Linked DNA regions of Danio rerio. The protein of the gene in region 1 binds, or shares a complex with, the protein of each later gene. Links are inferred from orthologs where the notes say so. Each region holds a gene or a part of one and is shown in the gene's direction. Other genes may lie near its edges. The genes, in order: stk3 and sav1.

What was found.
Region 2: the proteins of stk3 (region 1) and sav1 are in contact, whole or in part, in a crystal structure (PDB 6AO5), measured with the Homo sapiens proteins. The link is inferred for Danio rerio from reciprocal best matches to the Homo sapiens genes STK3 and SAV1. Residues at the interface, in NP_006272.2 of Homo sapiens: Trp429, Lys430, Val431, Pro432, Gln433, Gly435, Phe437, Phe439, Leu440, Lys441, Asn442, Leu443, Ser444, Leu445, Leu448, Gln449, Arg451, Leu452, Leu455, Asp456, Met458, Met459, Glu462, Ile463, Leu466, Arg467, Arg469, Tyr470, Ala472, Lys473; in NP_068590.1 of Homo sapiens: Tyr311, Ala312, Arg313, Ala314, Pro315, Asp319, Trp324, Glu325, Phe327, Gln328, Leu329, Leu332, Asp333, Gln336, Leu339, Lys340, Leu342, Phe343, Glu346, Leu347, Ile350, Val351, Met353, Tyr354, Ala356, Tyr357, Arg358, Ala360, Leu361, Leu362.

Annotation. Positions count from the first base shown.
Region 1 is NC_133194.1:35,268,985-35,279,865, forward strand, and holds the start of stk3 (serine/threonine-protein kinase 3), read left to right. Parts: upstream 1-5,073; 5' UTR 5,074-5,189; coding exon 5,190-5,212; intron 5,213-5,498; coding exon 5,499-5,579; intron 5,580-5,671; coding exon 5,672-5,800; intron 5,801-5,899; coding exon 5,900-6,014; intron 6,015-6,140; coding exon 6,141-6,305; intron 6,306-8,563; coding exon 8,564-8,731; intron 8,732-8,822; coding exon 8,823-8,960; intron 8,961-10,881. Other genes in the region: nt5c1aa (5'-nucleotidase, cytosolic IAa), read right to left, coding at 915-1,061. UniProt on the Homo sapiens protein: Stress-activated, pro-apoptotic kinase which, following caspase-cleavage, enters the nucleus and induces chromatin condensation followed by internucleosomal DNA fragmentation.
Region 2 is NC_133188.1:40,252,227-40,262,466, reverse strand, and holds the end of sav1 (protein salvador homolog 1), read left to right. Parts: intron 1-455; coding exon 456-920; intron 921-3,837; coding exon 3,838-4,108; intron 4,109-4,719; coding exon 4,720-4,869; intron 4,870-8,190; coding exon 8,191-8,404; 3' UTR 8,405-9,168; downstream 9,169-10,240. UniProt on the Homo sapiens protein: Regulator of STK3/MST2 and STK4/MST1 in the Hippo signaling pathway which plays a pivotal role in organ size control and tumor suppression by restricting proliferation and promoting apoptosis.

The DNA of each region.
Region 1 (10,881 bases):
TCACAGTAAGTTATAGCGAACTGCTGCCAGTAAATTACTGTAGATTGTTAACAGCGTAATATTTTAACATACTGACACATTAGAATTTTAGTGTAGGTCACAGGTGAAAGTGACAATTTTTGGGTGATGACTTTATATACCCACTAACTACACGCTGCAGCGAACCACAGCCATGATTTACTGCTGGGTCAGTCTGGGGCAAGCAGTGCAAGTGTTGGAAATGGGAGAATACCAGAGGATAACAAAGAGGAGAACGGCATTGCGGGTTATTAATAGATCTGGAAAAGGCCAGTGACGCTTAGAGTAAGTATAGAGGCTACCGCAGAGAGAGGAATTATACACATGGTGTTGACCAGCTGCCTGTTGCACACGCTAAAGGAGCCTGTCAAAGTGCATGTAAAAGTTTTCTAATGCACTAAAATCTGTGGTAAAACCTCTTTGGAAGCAGTGTCATTACTTTGATAACCCACTGCATATTACAGATGGTATTTCCATATCTTTATGGCGGTGTTAGTAGAAGTCAAAATAAGCAGTGGACGACTTAAATTGATCTGCACCTGCTGCACCTCAGATGGCATTATCTCCTTACATTAGGACTGTTACCTAATAATGCCATCAGCCCCTCCTTTTCCATGAAACCTGCTCTGTTTCTGGCTTATAAACATTGACACCACAACCAGGCATCACAACATGAAAGCCAACAGCTACTTATAATCATATTTCACATAATTACACCACGCTTTGACAAAATCCAGGTGTCAGAGTGGGAAAAGTGAATCAACACACACATACACGTGGACTACTGTATAAGCAAATCACACCATCAAAGGTCTGAAATTGCCAATAAAAAGGACAAGGGCAATAGGAAAATGGCATCACAGATGAAATGCAAACTGATGGAGAACATCACTTACTGATTTGGGCTTCTTGGAACCAACATTTTCAAGCATATCCTTGTTGCTGTCCTCCCAGGATGCTTTGGTATCCCCGTTTGAGGCCGATGGGCAAGTGTTGGGCATAGGCTCTTGCCCCTTCATGACCTGAACAGGGTCAAGACTCATTCTTCCCTACTCTTATCATCAATGGCACACTGTGATCCAGAGCTGCTTCACGCTGTACTGTTAGCTCTGCTCTCATGCACACACACTCGGTGTATTTCCCCAATGCCGTATTCCTGCTTCAGCGTCTAATGACTGAGTGCTCTGGTTGTCTATATCCTCTCTGCTCTGCCTGCAATCTGCTGCTGTGACGCGGATGATATCTAACCCCTTCTCTCTCTCTCACTCTCTTTCCCTCCACATTTATCCCTCGCTCATGCACATACTGTCCTCCTCCCCTTTCCTCTGTATCATGCTATCGGAAATCCGCATGTGCTCTCAGTCAACAGAACGCAATATTACATATTCTGATAGGATCAGCCAATGAGTAATGGGTTTCCCTGACAGCTGTCCTTCCCAGTCCACATACAGTTTGTCCTGTAGAAAGCAGCCCAGATAGATAGATAGATAGATAGATAGATAGATAGATAGATAGATAGATAGATAGATAGATAGATAGATAGATAGATAGATAGATAGATAGATAGACAGGCACAGTCGAACGGACGGATGGATGGATGAATGGACAGATAGATAAAAACACAAACTCAACCGTTGTTTCTCCTCACTGTCCCCCTGATGCCGATATAATGGGGTGAAAGAGCCCATAACCCAATAATCAGTTGCTAGGCAGCGCTTCGACCCCATGCAGGACCTTGCCAGAGATTGGCTGGTTTCTTGCAGTCCTGACAACAGCCTGGGGCCACGAGGGACACAATATTATCCACACTGTCCTCCCTCTGCTGGCTGATGCAAGAACTGCATCATCTGTGCTCAAATGAATACAGTATGTTTTGTGCATAATCCTTTCCGTTTAAATCTAGACTACTAAGACTCTTTGCACTAGAAAATATGAAGGCATTCATTTAAAATCCTAATCTTCTAAAAGGATTGTTAGGCTGCATTCATTAGGCCAAGTGGCGCTGGAAATACTTCCCTAAAAGACATATTCATGCTCATGTCTGTCTGTTTCTTCTTATCCCAAGGTTCACATAATCATGGATCCAGGCTGTATTTGGAGCAGATGGTTGTTGTGGTCATTGATGAGTCAAGAGTGCAAGGTTCTTCCAGTGGCAGACGAATCTCTGCATTGATCCCGTCGGCTAGTATGAACACCTGAACATTGACCTGCACCCTCTCCACAATAGATGCGCATAGACTGCAGCTTTGCCCTTTTACATTTGGTCAGAGGAAAACTAATCACCTCGGCTAAGCCTGATTTATCCAAAAGTTTGTTCTGCATTTCCATCAGTTGGTGGAGTTCTGTAACTGTCCACGCCTTCTGACATTTGTGTTAATAACTGAGCTGAATCAGTTTTAATTTAACTGGAACTACACATTCAGTACTCACCTGTCTGTTGATATGCTGGAATGTTCTACAGTCTGAAACATTGCCTTTTTATTCTCTTTCCCTTATTTATGTTACGCTGTTTTGGCACAATCTACATTTCAAAAAGCTCTATATATTTAAAGATGAATTGAATGAAGAGACTCAGTGTAAGTGTGTTGTAGACATGGGCTGGTATAAGATTCTGACGGTATGATAACCTTGGATAAAAAAACACCATGGTTTCTCGGTTTCCCGGTATCACGGTATTGTGATTACTGCTCCAAAATAAGTTCTTGTTATAAATGTATGGGTAAAAAACAACTTTTTCCCTCATTGAACACAATATATTTTATTTTGAGAAATATTTAAAGTATTTTGGACCACTAGCTTTTGCTGTAAAAGTTCATTTTCTGCTGAAGATATCGTTGCCCTAAAATTTTTTCTTAAAATAGTTGTCAAAAACATGAAAAAAACAAACATTTTTTTAAGTCTTACATATACCTTAGAAATGGTGTAACAGGAAATTTTGGTGGTTTTAAAACCTTGACTTTTCCAAATTTAGTTATCACCCCATGCCTAGTGTTATGTTGTTTATACTTGTCGATAGACATGTGACGAAAACCGTTTTCGAAGTATACCCCGGTTTGGAAAAGTCAGGTTTTAAAACCAGCTAAATTTTCTGTAAAACCGTTCCTAAGGGATGTGTAAGACTTTTTATTAACTTTTTTTTTAAACAACATATCTCAATGCAGAATATTTGCCATTTAAATGTTTAATAAATCAGTTTTTTTTAAACAAATGAAGACAGCAGAAGCCAATGATTACTTTTCCAAAATATTTTAAATGTTACTCACAATAAAATACTTTGTGTTCAAAAGGGAAAAAAGTTTTTGTCCTTTACCCAGACATTTAAAGAGCCCATATTATACATGAAATAGGGTCATATCTTGGTTGTAAGGGTCTCCAACAACAGTTTAATATGCATGCAAGGTCAAAAAACACTTTCATGGTCTTATAATCTGCATTTATTTTTACCTAATTATCCCAGCGACTCCTGTATGAATCGTCCAGTGATTCATTTGTTCCCAAACCCCTCCTTAGCGCGAAGCTAATCTGCGCTGATTGGACCAATGACAGTCTGTCGCGATTGGTCGACTGCCTTCAGTCAGAGAGTAAAATGCACAACAGCTAATCAGCAATATAAAAGTAATCACAGTTCATACACGCTCGATGGTGTAGGCGTGGAGTTTAGCTGCCAGTGGGTCAATGTAAATACAGACTATGGACTTGAAAATACAAACGACTGACTATTTTATTGAGCAAAAACTCCAAAAGCAGTTGAGGAGATCTCCTAGCTTCTCACTCTGCTCTTTTCACAGACACACACACACACACATATTGCACAAACACACACACGCACTTAACCCTGCTCCGAACGACAACGCGCGCGCACACACACGCACACACACACACACAAACACACACACACACCTCCGGACGACAGCACACGCACACACAGACACACACACTACTCCTCGTCCACGGAGCTCCGTTAACGCAGCACGCGTCGCGTTTTTAACGTGACTTTGCACGCGATAAGAGAATATAGCCAGTTAACCTGATACAGTACACGCGGTTACAAGTAACAAATCACAACTAAATACATTTGCAAGCTAGAGTCAACGAGGCAACTTTAATCGCACGTACTTACACTTGAGAAATGGAGGAAGAAAAATCCTGACGTCCATCAATAAGTCACTCTTTACTGATCCTTCCTTTAACAAACGCTGATGAAGTATTCTTTGTAGCATGTAGCTTCCAGAAGTTTCCAGTAGTTTCCAACTGCTTGGTTATAATGCTGAGGTTTTATGTTTGGGTAGAGACTCAATATATCCATCTGCAGTGTGACTTCAATCGACCGGCATGTTTGTGTGTGTGTGTGTTTGTGGGTGTGTGTTTGTGTGTGTGTCTGGGTTTCTGCGTCAGAGGGCGGGGCCTCAGGTTTGAAATCTCCCGGGTTTGCGCGTGCACGTGAATAACTTGGTTTCGTTCGTACGTCATGGCGAAACACCTAATGAATCGGTATCAAGGCGACTCGTTTGAAGCACTATGAGTCGACTCTTTTATAGATGAATCAACCGTTTTAAACACTGTACACTAACAGATTTAAGCCTTAGCTGGATACTTCACTTCACTTAGAGCTGTGTTACACAATACATGGAGGGGAATTTTCAAAAACCCATAATATGGGCTCTTTAAAAAGAATATATTTTAGAGCAGTGGTACCGTGTAACCATAATATTTTCATCCAAGGTTATCATACCGTCAGAATCTTATACAGGCCGATGTCTGCTTGTCAATAAAAAAAGAAGATAATATTAAGAGGATAAAACTGAGAGAATGTATGCAAGTATTTCTCAGATAGTTTGTTCGTATTTTTTATAGTTCTTAAAATAAACAAAACAAACAAACTCCGTTCAAAGATACACGCAACTTGCAAGCTCGTCGTCAAACGAGTGAAAATTGTAGTATCTCATACTGTAAAATATTACGTTTGTAGGACTTTTACTTTGACGAGTCGTTTTTCATGGAAAATTACACACGTCAGCTGGCTTCACATCGTTGTTAGCAGCGGCACGGAAAGACATAGCAGTGCTTCCTTAAACTCCAAACAAAACATGCGTTATTGCTTTTTCCCTTAGGGTTTGAGCAAACAACTTTTACATTTTTACGCAAATTATATTTTTATCTGAATAACAAGAATGGAGCATTCGGTGCCCAAAAAGTAAGTCACTATCTCGGCTAACCAGTTAACAGCTAAGCTAATATTTACAGGCCTCATCTGAGCAACGAAACTGACACTTCAGATCGCCGACCGAACTATAAAAGATCGTTTGGTTTATATTTAGATGTTCGTATTTATAACTACATGATCAATACTTCAACGCAGTCTGACTTCATGCAGTTTTGTTATATTGTAGATTCTAGTTTTACGTTATAACTGCTAGTGTGGGATCCAATGATGTTTTATGCATTTAATAAAGTAACGTTTCGACTGTTTTGATCAACAGTAAGCTGAAGAAACTCAGTGAAGACAGTCTTACCAAGCAGCCAGAGGAAGTATTTGATGTTCTTGAAAAGCTTGGAGAAGGGTGGGTAGCATAATATTTGTCAACATAGGTAGTGAATATGAATGCTTATGTTTTGTTTGACACTTCTACATTTCAAATGCACTTTGCTTCAGATCATATGGAAGTGTTTTTAAAGCCATTCACAAGGAATCAGGCCAAGTTGTGGCCATTAAACAGGTTCCTGTCGAATCAGACCTGCAAGAGATCATCAAGGAGATCTCCATAATGCAGCAATGTGACAGGTAAAACAACATACTTAGTTTATATATTTATTATTAATGTAAATTTGGATGTGTGTGAAGAACGTAACAACATTTTCATTCCTCATTGTGTTTTAACAGCCCATATGTGGTGAAGTACTATGGCAGCTATTTCAAAAACACAGATCTGTGGATTGTGATGGAGTACTGTGGTGCTGGATCTGTGTCTGATATTATTAGACTGCGCAACAAAACGGTGAATAAAAATACTATGAATGCACTATATAGCATCATCAGTGTAATTTAAGTTAGATTATTATATCTAAGAGATATTGATGTATCAATAGAGCTTCATAACAGAGACTTTTATTTGCTTGACTAGCTTACTGAGGATGAGATTGCCACGGTCCTCAAATCCACACTGAAAGGTCTGGAATATCTCCATTTTATGAGGAAAATCCACAGGGACATCAAAGCCGGGAATATTCTCCTCAACACTGAAGGTCATGCTAAACTAGCTGATTTCGGAGTAGCTGGACAACTTACCGTGAGTTTTTCAACCTACCTGCTAGATTGCATAGATTGATGTGGTTTTATTTGTTAAAAAATAAATAATATTATAATAAATACATTGATATAAGTAATTTAACTAGGGATGCACAATATATCGGCGGCCATATCTTTATTGCTGATAAATTTTATTTTGTTATTGGTCCGAAATCAAAATTAGGCCAATATCTTAAAGCCGACAGATTACGTAATTGTACAGACCTGCCTGCCTTGCGCATGCGTTGGTCGACCTTGTTCAGACGTGTCCAGTGCACTATAACGTAGCTTATCTCACATTGTTTATTCATCCATCCTTTCTTTGTGTGGTATTGCTGTGCGCAAATAACTCTGTAAGTAACCATATCCCTTATCAGATATGTTTGATAGAGTATCATTGTGTATTTTGGTTTAAATCGCCTCAGGCAAAGTATTAAATGTGTAAATATAATAGCAGCGATGCACACATGCTAAGCAACTCGTTGGGTTGTTTGTAATCTAATATGATTATTTGTTATTATCAACGCGTTGCTTGCCATTCGTTGTTGATGTAAGATTGTATTCGGTTTGATTTTGTTATTTAACCTATTGTTTTTATGCAACGGTCTAGTTGGATGTTAATTTTCTAAGCAATGAAAGGGAAACCATTAAGTTTTGGAATGCTTATTTATGTGAAATCATAAATTTAGGCCTATAGTAGGGTTGTCCACACTCGGTCCTAGAGGGCTGGTGTCCTTTAGGGTTTAGCTCCAACCCAAATCAAACACACCTGAACCAGCTAATCAAGCTCTTACTAGATATACTAGAAACTTCCTGGCAGGTGTGTTTTAGCAAGTTAAGCTAAACTTAGCTGGACACCGGCTCTCCAGGACCAAGTTTGGACATCCCTGGTCTATATAATCACCTTACAATTTTGAAATTATTGCTTTTTTGTTTTGAGTATAGACTATTCAGTTCATAAAGCCCTGCTCACACTAAGATTTCAGCCACAATTTTGTCATCTGAGACGATGGGAAATCCTAAAAGATTCTTGAAATTCGTGATCTTTGATCGTTGGTTTGACATGTTCAGTGACAGATGCTTAAAGCCCGTTGCGATCAGATTTTTTTTGTGACAACAGCTGCAATCTGAGAACCAATAGGACCTCAGAATTTGATGTCACAATCTATGCAACAATTCAAATGACCATGTGAAAATGTCAAAGAGTCTTTTTCATTCTGGTTTTATTATTGAGACACGCCGTGTGCAAAATTGCAGCTACAGATTGCGGGGATAGTGGGATAGTGAAAGTGTCACGGGTGGATGACGTCAAACTCCGGGGGCATTTTCTTTCATGTTTGGTGCATTTTCATTGTCGTTCAGTCTGACTTTATGACAGCTGAGATCTTACAGTGTGGCATGGGAGCCATGTTCGAGCAGTCTGACATGCTACAATCATTTAGGATTATAAAAAAACAATCGCACAGTGAAAGCCGGCCTTAAGATCAGTTCAAACTTTTACAAAGTTTAAAAAAAAAATGAAATCAGTTGTTCACTGTATAAAATATAACATTTTGAGATATTTATATTTATCGGCTAATATATCGGTTATCGGCCTCCAGATCTTTAGTTATTGGTTATCGATATCACCAAAAACCCTTATCGGTGAATCCCGAAATTTAACATTCATATAATATCATTTAACATGCATGGAAATGTGTGAATTATAGTTTTGGGTTAAATTCTGTATTTTAGCTTTGTCAAACTGCACTAAAACGTTCAATAAAAATCTATTTGAAGAAAAAACATTTGATAATGCTTGTTCAGAACATCCATTAAAACATCATTTTACTTTTTTTCCTAAAAAACATAGTACTATATATATTGTTTACTGAGCTAATAAAATTCATTTAATCATAAGCGTTCATAAGAATATTTTCTGTTTTCTTTTTTATTTTATTGGATAAATTTAATTCAGCTAAAAGCTTGCTATTGAAATCAAAAAAACTTTCTCAAGGTAAAGTTTTACAGTTACATATACTATTTTACATCTTTCACAGTTACTTTTTTTTGTAAACCAATGAAATATGGGAGTTTTCCATCAGTGTTTTTTTTTTTTTTGTATCTCAGAAATCTCTGTATTCTGTATCTCAGACTCTTACATGATGGAACTCAAAACTTTTTCTCTCATCGACAGTCATTTATTTAATGTCTCCAAGCCAATTCTGTATATGTCTCATGAATCATTGTAATCCTGTTTGTTTATATTAACCACACAAGGACACAATGGCCAAGAGGAACACAGTTATAGGAACACCCTTCTGGATGGCGCCCGAAGTAATCCAAGAAATTGGGTACAACTGTGTGGCAGATATCTGGTCTCTCGGCATCACATCCATAGAAATGGCTGAAGGAAAGCCTCCGTATGCAGACATACATCCAATGAGAGTGAGTGGAGAACACTGAGAGGAGTCTATGACTTAAAAACATTGAGTAAATGCTGGATGATGGTGACTATATCTGTTTTTTCTGTCATTAGGCTATTTTTATGATTCCCACAAACCCTCCACCCACGTTCCGCAAGCCAGAACATTGGAGTGACGATTTCACAGATTTTGTGAAGAAATGTCTGGTGAAAAACCCAGAACAGAGAGCAACGGCAACTCAACTGCTGCAGGTATGAGAACTAAGAACCACATACAGCGGGGAAATAAGCATCAAACACGTCCTGTTTTTTTCCTGGGAATAATATTTCTAAGGAACTATTGACATGGAATTGAACCAGATTTTGGTAAAAACCCAAACAATACAAACAAAAACAAAAAATCTGAAAAATTAGTTGTATAATTACAATAAAATGACACAATGAGAAAGTACTGAAATACTGAAACGTATTTCACACTTTGTATAAAAGGCTTTTTTGGCGATGCCTCTCATTTGGAGACTGAAGTCGCATGAATTGCTCAGGTGTGAGTTTTTTCAACAGAGTGTAGAAATCTTGATGGTTTCTATTGGATTCAAGTCAGGTGATTGGCTGGGCCATTCTACAGCTAGATTTTCTTTCTCTGAAAGCATTTGAAGGTTTCCTTGGCTGTGTTTTAGATCATTGTCTTGCTGAAATGTCCACCTTGGTTTTATCTTCATCATCCTGGTAATGTAAATGTTGGACTGAAGCAGCTAATATTAATTTACAATGAGGAAGGGCAGAGGGTTGCTGAAAAACTACTGAGATTTAAGCTGCTGTCTGGGCTTTCACTGCCTTTCTACACCTTCCTTTCTTCATGTGTTCAATACTTTTTCCCTGCGTCATTTAATTTTATTTTGCATAACTAAATTTGAAACTAATTAGATGTTTTTTTTGCATATATGTATTTCTTTAGTTGTTATAAACATTTAGGGAAGTCAACGGCACCTTTAGAAATATGTTTTCTGAGAAAAATGGTGACAGGTTCAATTTTTATATTCTCCGCAGTATTACCAACCAATAGTTCCTATTTGTGACTCGTGCAGATACTCATTTATTATTTGAGAGGATGCTTTCCATCAAACCATGATACTTGGATGTTTTTTTAAAAAAAAGTATCCCCAAGAAGAATTTTGTTATTTATCATATATTAAATTGAAAAATCATATATAATGTTTTCAAATCACTTTTATTGTCACATCATCAGCAGCACGTGTGCTATGATGAATGAAAAGCTTTTTATTGTAGAATTAATTTATGTGTGAGTTATGAAGTTAATATATGTATATATGTATAAATGTAATATATGTATATGTAATATATGTTTATCTCTATTAGGGCTGAACAATATATTGTCTCAGCATTGATATCATAATGTGCTCATTTGGAGTTGTCACATCGCAGGAGCTGCAACATTGAGTTTGGATTATAATTTATCATTTGCATGTGTTTTTGAGGCTTTGGATGAGGATATCAAATGTATTCAGGCCGAAGAAATTGCACTATTTGTAACTTTAATAACAATTCATTTTTTTGGATTATTTATAAAACAAAGACTATGCAGTATTTTATTGCGTTTATCTATGCTTGGAGATTACTTACAGATGCACTGCCCTACTGCATCATCCCAATCAATCCAAAATGATAAATTCTTTCCAAAGAGGTATTCAAGTCATCTGGGGCCTCATGTATCAATTCTGCGTATGCACAAAAACTTTGCGTACGCCAGGTTTCACGCTCAAGTTTGCTAAATTTGCTAAAGATGAAATGAACGTGAGAATGTGCGTTGGTCCACGCTATTTTCATGCCTGGCGTACGTGCATTTCTTGTGTGTGTTTGTTTTATTTCCATTGGCGACTCTGAGAGGCAATTATGTTAAATTGCACACCACAAAGCACCTTTGAGCTGTGCAATAGCAGCTGTATGAGACGGGATCATCCGCATGTCTAGCAGGTATATAAGGTTTCCATACCATACCATACAGTTGACCAGCCAAACATTATAGCACAACTTGCAGCGATCACCGGTTTTCCCAATGTAATCAGATCGATCTACTGCACGCACATTGCTATAAAGGCGCCATCTGAAGACAAATTTGCATACCTGAATCAGAAACATTTCCATTCAATAAATG
Region 2 (10,240 bases), on another chromosome or scaffold:
AATAGTGTTATGAGATTAGTGTTTAACATACAAATTTATTATCATCCATCATTAAAAAAATAGGAATCTGGTAAAACTTGTTTTAAAATAAAAACTATAGCCTGTGGGCAAATAAATACTTTATTAAAATAAATACTTTATTAAAATTATTTAAGTCTTAAAGACTTCTTCTGTGTATAATTTTCACAATTTATGATAACATAGCAGTGAAAATGGGATAAATTAGCTCATTTGGGGGTCAAATTTTGGACTTTGTCAGTAGCAGGTTTGTCTTTTGAACCACCCAAACCCCCCTTGGCTACAGGCCTGATTTGTGTTCAGGAAAACAAAGATTTTCATATGGGATTGGACAAATGATGAGTAATAATGACAGATGTTTTATTTTAGAGTGAACTATCCCTTAAAGTATGCATTGATCCACTTACTCCAGGTTTCCCCCCATTGTTTGTTCTCAGATTTGATGCCCTCATTTATCCGCCATCCAACGTTCCTTCGACGCGAACCTCCATTAGTGGAGCCGGTTTCGGCTGGTGTGCCTGGTCCCGGTCCCGGTCCGTACACCACTGGATCTGTTGGAGATGTTAGCGGCCCTAAGAGTTTCCTGCGCAATGCTCCTCCACGGACCCCGCTAGAGGTTTCACGCAGAGAGAGTCACCGTCTGTCTGCCCCGCCACATCTTCATCGTGATTACTCCCCTTCCTCACCATCCTACATCAGCGATGCCAGTTCTGTAACAGAGAACGGAGACAACGGCCCGTATTACTATCCTCCAGAACCATACTACAATAACCAACCCAGACGAGCACGCAGACCAGACCACTTTAATGAGAACTACAGATACTATGACCACAATGAACTCAACTTCCCACGAAACCCAGGACAGCCCCAGACGCCTCAGCCACACAGCCGCCCTCCACCTGGTGAGTTACTTTTGAACTGGTGTGCATTTACACATCACATGCACAGACTTGCACGCATTATAATAGACTCTGCATGGAGTAACAAACATGATTGTCACTCTTTACTATAAATACACTGACGTTTGCTGTGTTTACGAGAACATTTGCTGTTTACTGGATGAGATTCTTCAGGTTCCTCTGACTGAACATAGATTCACTTTCTTTTTCAGCCGAATAATATAAAAAAAGAGGGATTTTATGTAAAATTGGTGGCTCAGTGGAAACACTGTCACCTCACAGCAAGAAGGTTGCTGGTTTGAATCCTAGCTGGGCCAGTTGGCATTTCTGTGTAGAGTTTGCATGTTCTCCTTGTGTTTGCGTGGGTTTCCTCCACGTGCTCCAGTTTCCCCCGAAGTCCAATCGGTGTGTAAATGTGAGTGTGTATGGGTGTTTCCCAAGTTGCAGTTGAAAGGAAATCCGCTGCGTAAAATATATGCCAGAAAAGTTGGTGGTTCATTCCGCTCAGGTGACCCCTGATAAATAAGGGACTAAGATGATGGAAAATGAATGAATGAATGAATGAATATACAGTTCAAGTCAGAATTATTAGCCCCCTGAATTATTAGCCCCCTGTTTATTTTTTTCCCCAATTTCTGTTTAACGCAGAGATGTTTTCAACACATTTCTAAACACAATAGTTTTAATAACTAATTTCTAATAATTGATTTATTTTATTTCTGCCATGATGACTATAAATAATATTTTACTAGATATTTTTCAGGACACTTCTATACAGCTTAAAGTTATATTTAAAGGCTTAACTAGGTTAATTAGGCAGGTTAGAGTAATTAGGCAAGTTATTGTATAACAATGGTTTGTTCTTTAGACTATCAAAAAAAATTGCTTCAAGGGGCTAATAATTTTGACCCTCAAAATGGCTTTTTAAAAATTAAAAACTGCTTTTATTCTTGCCGAAATAAAGCAAATAAGACTTCCTCCAGAAGAAAAAATATTATCAAACATATTTTCAAAATGTCCTTGCTCTGTTAAACATAATTTGGAAAATATTTAAAAAGTAAAGAAAATTCAAAGAGGGGCTAATAATTCTGACTTCAACTGAATGTAAAAGTTTAGAGATTGTTTCTGTTAAATATATTGCATTCTCTTGTTTTTTTTTAAATAACATAATAAGATGACATTTGATCAGATTACTTCTTTTCTTCAGGAAAATGTTAATGAAGATTTGTTTTTGAAACATTTGTGCTTTTAGTAATTCATAAAATGCAATTCAGTGGCTACCAGCATTTTGGGAGTCAAACAAACCATATACAGGTTCAACAAAATAATAACTGTGGCTTCTGACAATACGTTGATGTCTTATAAAGCCAAAATGGTTTGCCAGTGCAAGAATCCACATAAAGGAAGATATTTGAGAGAATGTCAGCAACAAATTGGGGGAACAAATACAATAGGAGTTAGAGCTGCACAATTAACCAAAAAAGATAGCTCTCTATTGATAGATCTTTATTCGACCCTACACCCGATCTTAATTAAGCTTTTTTACAATTTAGCCAATCATATTTTCATGGTCAGGACAGAAGTATAAAAGTGGTCGCACAAGTCTTCACATTGTTGTATATACATTGCTCAGCAACATTGACACCTCCAAATGGTGTTAAAATTGTCACATACAGTATTTATAAGGTATATTTCACCCAAAAATGTCATTTGTCATCTTGTAATGACAAATTTGTGGCTGCGAAATCGCACATGAGCTGACGCACTGTTTGTTTACTAATGAGAGGATGCGTGCATGCCTGCCAATGATGTCTGCTTTTCTTTTAACAAAATCTTCACAATTTGTGTAAGGTCATATATACACCTAATAGTCATACTCTATACTTAATAATATTAAATCTTTATTCTTTGTTTGAACATGAGACTGTGAGAGAAAGCTTACTGGTTAATAAATTAGATCAAAAATATTTTAATAAATATAATTTGAAATCATGTAAAGTTTAATCAAAATTAAAAGAAAAAACAATATTTACCTGCATATATTATGTTAGGGTGTCACAGTGGTGCAGTGGTTGGCATGATTGTCGTGGCATTTTTGTGTGGACTTGTTCTCCCTTTGTTTGCGTGGGTTTTCTCCAGGTACTCTGGTTTCCCCCACAAGTCCAAAGACATGCGCTATAGGTGAATTGGGTAAGCTAAATTGTCCATAGTGTATGAATAGGAGTGTATGGGTGTTTCCTAGTAATAGGTTGTGGCTGGAAGGGCATCGGCTGCGTAAAACATATGCTGGATAAGTTGGTGGTTCATTCCGCTGTGGCGACCCCAGATTAATAAAGGGACTAAGCCGGAAAGAAAATGAATGAATAATTATGGGATGTAGAAATACAAAAAACTTATTTGCATCACTCAAAAATGTTCTAATAGAAATGTTAAAAATCGGCTAATAGAAAATTCAACAATCTTACAAAATTTAAAGCCTTGCTAAAGTCTAAAATAAGAGGTAGGTTGAAATGATTGCTAATTTTTTTTTTTTTTTATGACCAGAAAATCTCATTTTTTTTCTTGTCCTACAATATACATTACACACACATTTTCTCCACTGTTATTCTGTTGCAGTTTCTCATGATCTGTGAGACTGAGAGAAATGTACATTTGTTGTTTGCCCTTTCCTTCACCCTGTGATGATGTGTGTGTGTGTGTGTGTGTGCGTATGTGTTTTTTTCTTTGTGCTGAACTTTTGAAAGTCTACTGGGGGTTTTAGCTTAATATCTGCAGCTGCGACTTGCTGTTTGCTCTTCGTCTCTCTTTCATTTCACTCCACCTCCTTTTTCATTCAAACTTATAATAGCTCATTCTAGAAGCATTTTCCACACATATTTGTAATACTTTCCTGAATGTGTGGGTTTTTTTTTCTTTCTAGCAATTGGCCGAGTGCCAGCAAAGTCAGTGGGTAATCTGACGACCATGAGCGGGGAGGAGGCGGCTCTTCCTCCTGGCTGGACTGTAGATTGGACGATACGAGGAAGGAAGTATTTCATCGATCACAACACAAACACGACTCATTGGAGCCATCCGCTGGAGAGGGAGGGGCTTCCGCCAGGCTGGGAGAGGGTGGAGTCGGCCGAGTTTGGAGTCTATTATGTTGACCACATCAACAAACGTGCCCAGTACAGACACCCCTGTGCACCCAGGTTAGTGTCATTTAAACATACGCTATAATGATATACAGCCCTCATGTATACTTTTCCCCAATTTCTGTTTAAAGAAAAGATTTTTTTTCCCACACATTTCTAAACATAATAGTTTTAATAATTAATTTCTAATAATTTATTTTGTCTTCGCCATGATGACAGTAAATAATATCTTACTAGATTTTTTTAAGGTACTAGATATCAGCTTAAAGTGCAATTTAAATGGTTATTTAGGCTAGTTAGGGTAATTAGGCAAATCATTGTATAATAATGGTTTGTTCTGTGGATAATAGAAAAAATATATTGCTTAAAGGGGACTATAAATATTGACCTTAAAAAATATATACACTTTTATATGCTTTTATTCTAGCTGAAATAAAACAAATAAGAAAAAAATGTTAAAGGAAATACTGTGAAAACTTCCTTGCTCTGTTAAACATAATTCGGGAAATATTTTTTAAAAAAGGGGAAAAAAAAATCACAGGAGGACAAACAATTTTGACTTGAACTGTATATGATATGTGTATGTTCATTATGATAATATATTACTGATTATCTAGACTGTTTGATGCCATTTTGTTTTTAAAATATGCCAACTCTCTTTGTTTTAGTGTGCCTCGTTATGACCAGCCCCCTCCCCCACCCGTCACCTACCAGCCCCGCCCACCAGAACGCAACCCGCCTGTACTGGTACCAGCAAACCCGTATCACTCAGCTGAGATTCCAGACTGGCTACAGGTGTACGCCAGAGCTCCACTAAAGTAAGTTTCACACTCTCACACAGATTGTCCAACATTAAAGGTCCCCTCAAGTGCCTTGAAATGCAGTTTTGTTTAGCGTGTGATGCGATTTTAACTCTAACACAATGATTCTCATTGTGGAAACTCATTTAGCGTGTGGTGGCTTTTGGTGGTGTGAGATTGCTCTTTGGGAGCACAGGGGCTTAAGAAAATTTTGGCAAGTAATAATATCAAACCACTGTGCCATGGAGAATAAGGAATGACCAAAACAACAGTTTAAATATTTAACAATGTGATAGATTGGCCCGTTAGTGCTACCCCATCATACCTATTTTTGTTTCGTGATCTGTTAATACAAAATCACAAGACTTTTTTTTTTGCTGTGTATTCTGGAATTTATTTGGCAAATGTGATTACATTGTAGTTTATCTATGGATAAGTTTATCCTACTCTTTTTTTTTTTGCGATATTCCATATGTGGATGGAAGCTTATAATAGTAATGCTGGTCTTGTCTAGGTAATTTACCTAAAAAAAAAAAAGAATAATTTAAATGACTAGTGTATATGATCCAGTTATGTTCTTGTGTCTCTGAAATCTTATTTACATTGCTTAAATTGTTCGTCCCTTGTTTAGTAGCACTATGTGCCATTTGAGATACTAAAGAGCATTTCGATTGGTCAGACAGTCTGATGAGAAGCTAAAGTGCTCTGTCATGGAAAATTGTTCGGAACTGAGAACATGCATGTTTTGAATGCTTATATCTTCTAAAAAAGATGCTGTCTTTGTTTTAAACGCATACTAGCTTATAGATGACCTTAAAACTAAAATATTAATACTAACACCCAAAAAACTCATTTCGATTTTAGATGGACTTTAATCTGACATAATGTACCATCCAGTCATTTATTGTAAAGGCCTTAGTTTTAATTTGTAGTGTTTTAGTTAGGAAGTGACATGTGATCAGTGTAGGCATGATGTAACTGTAGATTGTTTATGGTTGCTGAACAACATTGCAGCTTGTTGCATTAATATGGAATTCAGCTAACGTGTGGTAACAGGTGGGCAACTATGTATATCAGCACTTTTACTTTTTACAGCTCTACTCTTCTAGACATATTTTTAACACGGTTTATATTTAACTACAATTATATTGTTTATATACTGTTACAGAAGTGATTGTGTTAAATTAGCTTTTTCTTTTTGTCTGGTTTATTTCAATTCAATGACAATATTTTGAGTCCATTTTAGTTGACTTTCCCAGTGATGGATTGCAGCTGGAAGGGCATCTACTGCGTAAAAATGTGATGAATAAGTTGTAGGTTCGTTCCGCTGTGGCGACCCCAGATTAATAAAGGAACTAAGCTGAAAATATATTTATGAATGAATAAATGAATTTTAGTTGACAACAGTATATTTAACAGTGTTTAAGAAATAGACATGTCGATTATTTTAGTTCAATTCTAGTAATTATGTTGCTTAAATATCTGCTCTGTTCATGCCACTTTTTTCAGCTCTGGTATGTGGTGAGTTTTTTGCTGGAGGAATCTGACTACATACTTTATAAATCCCCAGTTTGCATGAATGCAAACTCAGAAGAAGGATCTGGGAAAGTGCTGAAGGAGATGTGGAGAAGACTTAGCAAACCATTTTCACATATTTTGGAGATGTCAAGTAGGGCTGGGCGATTTGGCCTAAAATCAAAAACTAGATTAAAATTTTAACTCTATTCTGATTAATGAACAATTTTTTTGTTTGATTTTATTTTATTTCATTTTTTGCCACATAATTCACTGAGAGGTTTTGTTTAGTAAATAAGCTCACATATCACAAGTGACAGATTGTTAAATGAAGAGTGCATTACTTGATTTTAAAATAATTGAAGGAAACACACATTATCTACAATCTATGATTATTTATTGAACATTAACAATAAACAACTGAATGAAAACACACATTGTCTAAAACCAAGTCACTTTTTTCCTATAAAAAGGGAAAATAAATAATGTTTGGAAACAAAATTAATCGTTTTCGATGTTTTTCATATTGTAAGTCAAAAATAAGCTGCATCTCTTCTAAATAAAATACACCTGTAGATCCTGTAAATAATATTCTAAACAGTCAATTTCTTGCATCTTCTGTAAATAAATAATTTTATTGAAATATTAATTTATTCTTATGGAAAATATGCTGTCTTAGTGCATCTCTAGCGCAGCTTCCAATCATTTTCAATGTAGTGCAAACGTGTGACTTGTAGTTAGGTAATACAAAATATTTTAGTGATGGAATGGACATCTCTTTTACAACAATTTACTTGGAAAATATACCTGTAGCAGCCAACTTTAATGATATAAGACAAGTATTTATTAAAAATACTTCTAGCGTCCAACAAGAAAACTGTAACTAGAAAGCGGCTCGAAACCTTTACAAAATTGGAATGATTTGCTATCGTATCTAATGTTCAAAGGTTCAAGGAGGCCTCAGGGAAGACCCAAGACAGGCTGGTGGGACTATGGGCGTACTCGCACTACTCGCATCGAACCAGGCTGAAGCACGCTTGTCCATCCTCCTGTCTCCCTCAACGGCCTGCACTCTCATTGCATTCGCGACTAAGCACGCTTACGTCATTGATGATGCGCTGTGAGAAGCGTTCTCGCTCAGCACGGTGGACATTTCTTTATATCGTTTTAGTCGTTTGGGATGCAGCGACCCTCAGTGAAATATTTCACTGAAGAGATCAGCCATTTTTGACGCTCATAAACAATCATAATGTCCTCAAGCTACAGGAATTAGGAGGTTTGCTGATGGTGCAGCTGTCGTGCAGTGAGGGGTTTGCGTTTTTAATAATCTACGACAGTTTGCATTCATTGAACAGTATGAATGATTAATAAACCCATATCCAACTGTCCCTTTAAAGAAACGTCTCGTCTTCAGTTTCGGGCTCAGGCGAGCCCAAGTGAATCGAACACCTCTTCCAACTGGGCCTGGTTCGGCCAACTGAACTGCGCCTGAGCCCGATTCAGAGCACTCGCACTTCTCAAACAATCCGGGAAACAGGCCTGAGCATGGTTTGGATGGCATAGTTTGAGTACGCCCTATGTCTCTCGGCTGGCCTAGGAAAAATTAAGTATATACTTTTTTTATGTAATTACATCATAAATAAAAGAAAAACCATCAAACTAAAACCTTTTTTATTAATCAAATATTATATATAATATGATAAAATATAATATAGTAATAAAATATAATATTCATTGTTTTTCATTGACTGTTTCTTGCAACCCATAAGTCTGGTAGAGTCCTGATTCATTAGTCGTGTGTATGTATGTGTTTTTCCGTCCCAGATATGACCACATCCTGAAGTGGGAGCTCTTCCAGCTGATGGATCTGGACACATATCAGGGGATGCTGAAGCTGCTCTTCATGAAGGAGCTGGAGTGCATCGTCAAATCTTATGAAGCATATCGACAAGCGCTGCTGACCGAACTGGACACGCGCAAACAGCGGCAGCAGTGGTACGCTCAGCAACCAGCCAAAAACTACCCTCCAAACATCTGACTGTTTGTTATGACACACTCAGACAGCTTACTTATCAGTGCCTTACACTCTCACATCCGACTCCAAATATAAAGCCCAAAGAGAGACTCTACACAGAACGTGACACTATTACTCTTCTATTATTATACGGCAGTGTGTTACGAGTTTTGACTGTGTGTTGGAAGTGTGTGTGTGCGTGTGTGTCTTTGTGCATATGTTGGCCTGCAGGCAGCTGTGGGTTATGGCAGGACTCAGTCATTCTTTATGGCATTGTCTTTATGGACAATCACTTCTATCAGTTATCACTGATTTATGTTTAATCCTATTTGCAATGATAGTTTCGCTTTTAGGGCGAACACACAAAAATGCATCCAGGTCACATTTCAGGCCGAATTTATAGTTCATGGAAAGAAAATGAAGCCTGGTTTGGATTGTTTAGCATTTAATTAACAAATAATAAATAATAAAAGTCACTATTTTTTTTTTAATCATAGTAATTAAAGTTGCTTTAGTATTCTGAATGTTGAGCAATCTTCATGGTGCTTTATTTTCTTGAAGTAAAATATGACCTGGACATTTTTGTAAGTTCGTCCTTGATTGTTTGTGTGGATTCCTTTTTTTAAGGAATTAGCTTCTTATATTTAAGGATAACATTTTGAGGCTGAATCGTCACTTTGAATGAAGTGAAGGCGTTTTTAAAGAGGTTAGTGCTTGTTTTTTCCCCAGTTAAAAATGTGTGTAAAAAGTATTTTCAGCATCATCACTAAATAAACCAGGACCTTGTATTGTGTGTGTGTGTGTGTGTGGGTGAGAATGTTTTCCATATTTCTCAGTTTTCTGCATAATAATTTTGAATAAATTCTTTATATTTACTTACTTTATTATTATTATTATTATTATTATTTTAAAGTTGTTTTTAGGGGTTTTTGACCTTTAATTGGAAAGGATGGTGGAGGTTACAGACAGGAAAGTATTGGGAGTAGAGAGAGGTGGAAGGGTCGGCAAAAGACCTGGAGCTTGGAATCGAACTCGGGTTGCCGTGAGCACCATGGTGTTATAGACCATTTCAAAGTGGTGATGTCATTGCCTCATGAACATTTCCTTCTTGTTGTCAAACTATTTCTAACTGTAACAAGAGGGGAGTCAATCATCACAACTTGATGTTATAATAGCTATCGTAACTTTATTTGTCAAAATGTAGCTCTTATTGGATTCTCAAAAGCAATAGAAATTTAAAATGTAAAACAGGAAATACGTCAGGACCATTGTTATTGTTTACAGTACATCTCTCAAAATGGTCTATGTCTGCGCACTTAACCACTAGGTCTATGGGCCTTTTTTTATGATTATAAATGTTAGCAAAGGTATGAACTTATTTAAGAAACTCTTTCCTTTCACCAAAATAGGCTCATTTTATGACTCCCTTAGAGATTTCAATTTTGAATCTATTCAGCCAGTTCTGACGGAGACCCTTTTAGCTTAGCTTTGCATAAAGCTTTAAATCTGATTAAATAAAAAATGTAAATACTTAAATGTATCAAATGTAATCAAATTAATTCAAATACATACATTTTCCAAATGAGAGTATTGTTTCTAGCCATTTCTGTCAGTCTTGGGACACAATAGCTGTTTCCATCCACCTATTTTGGATATGCACATAAAAAAAAAAAAAGTTGATGGAAACACCAAGATGTGCAGAAACTTTGAAAATGCACAATTGAGTAGGATACATTTTTATTCAATAGGAAAAGGTGCACGTACACTAAGATGGATACACTTTTACCGAACAAATTCCAGTATGCAAATTAAAAAGGGTCATGCGATTGTTATAAAAAATCATGTGATGATAAAAATGTG